2 linked regions of the Rattus norvegicus genome follow. The protein of the gene in region 1 interacts with the protein of each later gene in a pairwise test. Links are inferred from orthologs where the notes say so. Each region holds a gene or a part of one and is shown on either strand. Other genes may lie near its edges. The genes, in order: Fez1 and Pdcd7.

Evidence for each region.
Region 2: the proteins of Fez1 (region 1) and Pdcd7 interact in a two-hybrid assay, tested with the Homo sapiens proteins (2 studies listed by BioGRID and IntAct). The link is inferred for Rattus norvegicus from reciprocal best matches to the Homo sapiens genes FEZ1 and PDCD7.

The regions. Positions count from the first base shown.
Region 1 is NC_086026.1:44,767,563-44,771,384, forward strand, and holds part of Fez1 (fasciculation and elongation protein zeta-1), read left to right. Parts: intron 1-808; coding exon 809-889; intron 890-2,774; coding exon 2,775-2,850; coding exon of another isoform or gene 2,851-2,942; exon of another isoform or gene 2,943-3,022; intron 3,023-3,822. UniProt on the Homo sapiens protein: May be involved in axonal outgrowth as component of the network of molecules that regulate cellular morphology and axon guidance machinery.
Region 2 is NC_086026.1:74,767,729-74,770,664, forward strand, and holds part of Pdcd7 (programmed cell death protein 7), read left to right. Parts: intron 1-1,395; coding exon 1,396-1,632; intron 1,633-1,879; coding exon 1,880-1,967; intron 1,968-2,936. UniProt on the Homo sapiens protein: Promotes apoptosis when overexpressed.

The sequences.
Region 1 (3,822 bases):
TCCTGATACCTACCCCCTCCACTGAACCCCTAAACAGTTACAGTCACAGAACCTGTGACAGGCAGTGGGGTCAGGAAGGGAGGGAATGCTGCTTTTCTCCCTGATTTCCCAGAAGGTCTCTGGTCTGAGCGAGAACATACTGAATAAAGGTTAAAAAATAATTAGCTATGACCTGAGTTCTCCAGGCTGGTCCTTGAAAAAATAAACCAGGGTCTGTATCTCTACCATTGGTGTGGGTTATTGTCTGGTCTGGTCTCTTTGGGGCAGGTGTAGGGTATTGCTGGACTATGTGAATGGCTAAAAGGTGACCAGATAGCTTATAGGTTCTTGATAGAATGAAGTCCATAGTATTATCTAATCGACTTTTTCAGTGCACCCTTGCCTAACTCTAGTACAGATCTATTGAATTAGGCCAGGGCCACATGCCTCTTGAAGAAAAGTTTTCCCGCACCAGACCACTTCTGGAACCTACACTTCCTGAAAACTTCATCATCTATTTTACTAAGATCTTTGCATCTTAGTTCCCCAGAATCGAGCTGTCCTGTCTAATTTTTCTCTTTGCAGGATACAGGATAAAATGAGGAAGTCTGGGGATGACAAAAGGGTCTTATAACCTTGAGGGACTTACCCAAATGAGTCTCTAAGACTGCTACCCATTCTTGCTTGAATTTTGGCTTCTCTGCGCATCTGCCAATTACCGAGGGCAGTGTGACAGCTGATGAGCATTTGAGCAAGGACACAGAAGTCCCTGGGGTGGTAACATTGGGGCAGGAAGTCTGTGCCCATCCTGAGTGTATTTCTTCCTTAGCGTTTCAGCATGGAGGGCATCTCCAACATCCTGCAGAGTGGCATCCGCCAGACCTTTGGCTCCTCAGGAGCTGACAGACAGGTATGTGCAGCCCGATAGCTCCTTTATTCCTCCAGACGGCTCATTTCCTCACCAGAGATGAGAGTCAACAGAGTTATCCCAAAATCTGGGCCAGCATGAGGTTCCCTAACATTTTCTTTTATTTGTCAGGAAGACATAGGTAAAGTCTTTCAAAGGTCATTTTGTTGTTGTTGTTATTTTGTTTTAGGTCTTTTATCCCGGGACAAGGATAAAACTTAAAACTCCACATCAAATGTAGACCTATGAATTAGTTTGCTTTAAGAATAAAGTGCACTGGGGGATCTGTTTCAGAACAGAACACATCTTAGAGACTACTCAACTCTGTCTTTTTGATGGCCAGCTGAGCCTGTGCCACCAATATTTGCCTGTTCAACCTCCAACTCTGTAAGTCTAAGTCACGCTGTGGCACTCTCTAGCCTTCATTTTGACAGTAACTTGCAGTCAGCTTTGAAGTACTATGATGAAATACCCAGAGCAATTAACTTTAGAAAGAACAAACTTGGGCTGGAGAGACGGTTTAGTGGTTAAGAGCACTGACTGCTCTTCCAGAGGTCCTGAGTTCAAATCCCAGCAACCACATGGTGGCTCATAACCACCTGCAATGAGATCTGATGCCCTCTTCTGGTGTGTCTGAAGATAGTTACAGTGTACTTACATATAAATAAATAAATCTTAAAAAAAAAAACAAAACAAAGTTTTACCAATTTATTTTTATTGGGTGTCCTTACCAGTTTGGCATTTGGTATGGTGACATCATGTGGATGTGTTTGTAGTCACAAGGAGTCCCATGTCAAACTTGACAGAAAAGAGAGAGACAGAATGGGGTGGGACACATAAGAAGTCAAGAAAGAATATTCAATATCCTTTAAGGGCCAGCATAAGGCCTCTTAAAGGACCATAGTGCATCCCAGGACCATGACCCTGGGGAACAAGGCTTTGCATACAAACCTTTCGAAGACACATTACATTCAAACTACAGCATCTGTGATGTGGCTTGCACTTTGGGTTGTTACGGCAGAGTTTGACAACTGCCTGTTATGTGCTGTGATCTGCTGCTAGGTCCTCCAGGTACAGAAGTGAGAGGTCCTGGGCCTCCCCTCATGGAGTACAAAATCTAGTAGACTTGGCAGTATGTGCACGGTGTGTACAGGCACAGTGTGTGCACTGCCAACTTTGAAAATGTGGAATAAACGATGGAGAAGTATATATGCTGTTTTAGTGATCAAGGCTGAATCCTAAGGGTTACAGCTGTATGACCATAGCCTAGGAAAACTAGGAACATCTAACCAGCCCTCACTGGTCCTGGGAGAACTGAGGCCCAGAATCATAGAGTAGCTGTCTGTATCTTCACCGTGGCTAACAGGGCCTGTTGACCTTGGGCCTGTTATCACCTAGGACTCCCTAGGAGCCTGACAAGATCTCTTGGCCTACTGGTCTTTGATGCCTACTGGCTGGGCACCTCGAGGTTTGCTTTGTTGTAAGAGGGAGCAAATTTTACAATCAAGATCTCAGGTAGATATGTCATTTTGACAAGAGAGAACTAATTTCTTCCCAAATTGCACTGTGAAGAATTCAACTGTACACACTGCCCCAGCTCTCACCCAGGAGGAGAAACACTCCTAGGATTCTGAGAACCAAAAGGACTTTAGCATATTAAGAATGCATCAGTTGGGGTAGTGGAAGTTTCCCCCACTGAATACAGGAAAGCCTACTTTAGAGATACACGTAAAGAGGTGGAAGAAGGTTCTAGAGTAACAGCGTTCTACGGATGGAGAGCATTGTCCAGAATATGATGGAAAGTTAGGTCCAGGTTCAGGTTGCCCACTGTGCCTCCACCCAAGAGGGACCATGACTCACAGTCTGCATGCCCTGTTTGTCTTGGCAGTACCTGAACACAGTCATCCCTTATGAGAAGAAATCTTCTCCTCCCTCTGTGGAAGACCTGCAGATGCTGACAAACAGTGAGTTCCTCCTCCTCAGCCTCAGGCCTAAGTTGCCGTCCCTCCTCGCCTGTGCGCCTCCTGTTCTCACTTCCCAGATTCAGTTTCTTTAGGATGGCTTTGCATAGGGCAAACATTTCTGCATATCGTATCCTCTTCAATGAGGCGCAATTAAAAATACTCTGCTGTGACACCCAGGTTGTTTTTTGTTTTTTTTTAAAGGGTAGGAAGGTACTAGAGGGATGGGGCAGAGTTTTCTGTTTTCCCTACAGCTCCCTGGTCTTTGCCTTCTCCACTTGGGCTGCCCATACCTAGGTCCCTTAGAGCAGAGAGCTGTTGGTGGGCCCTGCTGTCCGTCCTGCTGTCCTTTTAATGTGAAGCAAGGCTTTTTGGGTGGGGCCAGGCTGCTTGGAAAGAATGGAGTCTGGTTTTCTCTCCAGGAAGTGACTGCCTCTCCAGTTTAGCTGCTTTGATCCGTATTAATACACATTCTGAACTGCAGGGAGAAGAAGCAACATGTAATAAAATGCTTCTCGTAGGCAGAATCCATCTATCTATGAATGTATGAAATAGTGCAACGTTCAAAAGGCCAGCTTCAAGTAGCAGTGTCCTCTGGGCACTCTTGGGAGGAGGAAAATCTTAGACTAAGACTTGGTGACATGCTCAGTGGATCAGATAGAAATCCCATTTTCCAGGCAACTGGGCCTGCTGAATGACAGCTTACAAGGCTGCTCAGTACACTGTGGATGCCCTGGAGAGGATGGGCCAGTGCAGGGCTATTGGTCAGGTTAAAGGAAGGGGGCTTCTACTAATACTAGGAAGACAAATATCCCCTTACCGTACCCCATTCCCAAGTTAAGAGTGAAGAAATACTTCCTTTTCATCCATCTCGAGGACAAAAGCAGAGTTTGCAGCAAACAGGTCTTGCCAACATCCATACACACCATGTCCTTGAGAATCAGGAATTTTAACTTCAAGGTCCATCCATCTGGT
Region 2 (2,936 bases), about 30 Mb from region 1:
TCACTGTGTAGACTAGACTAGCCTTGAACTCATAGAGACCCTCCTGCCTCTGTTTTTCTCCTGGCTACTGGGAAGCCTAATTGTACCCCCAACCCCTCAATGACTTTATTTATTTGTATACATGAATTGGTGTGTTCCCTGCATGTATGTCTGTATTAGAGTGTTAAATCCTCTAGAACTGGAGTTACAAATGTTGTGTCTAGATTGTAAAAACCCCAAAGAGACCACCAGAAATCACAGCACCGATATAAACATGAGGGTCTTTAGCCAAGCTTGAGCTTGGGCCACCAACCTTCCTGCTGGAACAGGGGGAAGAGTGCCCCAGGTCTAAGTGAAGGGAGTTTATAAAGAAAAAAATGCAAGTGAGGGTTTCCAAGTCCTGGCATTACATGAGAGGGTAAAGGAATGTTGGTCTTTCAGCTAATTGGTTTACAGCATCTGGTTAAACTACAAGGAGGGAGCCTACATCAAAAAGGAGCACCTTGACCTGGGAAAGACTTAGGTTTCCTTAGCCGACTCTGTTGTTATCAGCCAGCTGCAGCTGCTGTGTCTATTTTGCAGCTGTCAGAGACATTCATGGTTTTTCTCAGACTTCAAGGGAAGGGGCCAATGCCTCTCTAAGGGCAAGTTAACTTAAAATGGAGTCTTAAGAACAAAATGGAGTTTATTTTGCTACCTCAGTCCTTCACAAACAGTTGTGTACTGCCATGTGGGTGCTGGGAATTGAATCTGGATCCTCTGGAAAACGTAGCCAATGGGTTTTTTTTGTTTTGTTTTGTTTTTTTGTTTTGTTTTTCGTAGACAATGTTCTTAACTGCTGAGCCATTTCTCTAGCACTGAGAGACCCTGTTTCAAGGGACAAAAATAAAGAGCAATAGAACAGGACCTCTGTTGTCCTCTGATGTCTCACACTCTCACACTGGTGTGCATGGGATGCATACCTGTGCACATGCCCCCCCCCCATGTCTCACACAACACACACACATACACACACACACACACACACACACACACACACACACACACACACACACACACAATGAGTTAGTTCATTAGCAAGTAGCATGAGCTGGAATGAGATGAGTGAGGGCCAGAAAGACAAATGTTTGGGAATGTCAAAGTGAAGGTCAGTAAAGAAACCAAAGTAGGCTGGAGAGAGAGAAGGAAAAGGTAGCCTCCTGGAGGAGGTGCAAATTCTGCTTCTTCTGGAATGTGGCAGATGGTTGTCCTCCCTGAGAACGTAGGTCACTCTGTGAAGGGAGTGACACTAGTTCTGCCCACAGCTAGTGTCACACTGTAGTGGGTGTGTGTGAAGCACATGGCAAGTACTTGCTCCGCCTCCTACTGCTAGGAGTGTAAGAGCAAAGGACCACCCATCTGCTTGTCTTTGTACAGGGGTCTGTCCTCCTGCGGCAGCAGATGAGACCTTTGAGCACCACCTTCAGCGGCTGAGGAAGCTCATTAAAAAGCGCTCTGAATTGTATGAAGCTGAAGAGAGAGCCCTCCGAGTTATGCTAGAAGGAGAACAGGAGGAAGAGAGGAGAAGAGAACTGGAAAAGAAACAGAGAAAAGAGAAAGAGAAACTTCTACTTCAGAAACGTGAAATCGAGTCCAAGTTATTCGGGGATCCAGGTAATCTTATCTTTGCCAGTAGAGATGAGGAAAGATCTAAGTTGAGAGTTCTTTTTTGAAAGTAACCCAACTTAAGCCAGAAGGAAGACCTGACTACAAGTTGAGATTCTGAACTGTGTGGTGAAAGTCAGGGGTACAGAGATGAGGGTGATCTTATTGTCATAATCAGTGGCTCAGTCACCTTGCCTTGAGAGTGCACTCTTAACAGCAAGCAAACATGGTGACATGTTGTGCCTTTCTCTTTCAGATGAGTTCCCACTCGCTCACCTCTTGGAGCCGTTCCGTCAGTATTACCTCCAGGCTGAGCACTCCTTGCCTGCGCTCATTCAAATAAGGTCAGAAGGGAAGCCTCTGCTCTCCCTTTTTCTTGGGTACAGGAAGCTCTTAATGAAGAACTTCTACCATTGAGGTCTGTTGCTGTCTCTATTTTTAAAAGTTCCTTTTGGGTACGCAGTATTGCCAGGTTTCAAGGGTGCCACCTGTATTTTTAAAGTCCTCATTAATTCTTGGAAGTCAGTGTCTCCAATTGAACGGGTAAAGAAACTGAAATGTGGCTGATTGCCCTGTAGATCATGTCCTTGAATTCAGAGATCTACTTGCCTCCACCTCGATGCTGGAATTTAAGGACTGCATCAGCATAGCTGGCCTTGTTTTCTTAATTCTCTTTTAGTGCTGAGTCAATCCAGGAAAAGATTTTTCCTGAATGGTTGCCCATGGAGGTGAAGGCCCATGCTGACCCCTGTGTGCCTGCAGTTTGAGCATAATGCTCTCAACTGAACTAGCTACTTAGGAGTTGGGTGATTCTCAGCTGTCCAGGCTGTGACAACAGCTGCTTTTCCGCATGCAGTCTTTTGAGAAGTCAATGACTGGATGTCCCATGCAGTGTAAACTTGTTGCCTAGAAGCATTTCTTTGTTTTTTAGGCTCCAACATTTTAGGGGTCTAGAAAAATGGCTTGAAATACTAGAGACTTCTTCCACATTCCAGCAATTTCTAAATCTTGGGAAGGAGTTTTCTGGCATATCACATTTATTTTCAGGAAAAGTTTTAGCTTCACTGCACAAGTTTTAATCTTTAAACATCTTATTGATAGTAGGTAGGTTCTGTCAAGTTACTGTGAATATCGAGTCACAGAATATTGGACATAGCATTGCTCCTGATGGAGATAGGGCCAGGTAGACAACCGAGCATGATTCTCTCTCTTTTTTTTTTCTTTTGATGTGATTTGGGTGTTTTGAATGTGTGTATGTGTATCATGCCTGGTGCTCATGGAAGCCAGAAGAGGCTTCAGATTCTCTGAACTGG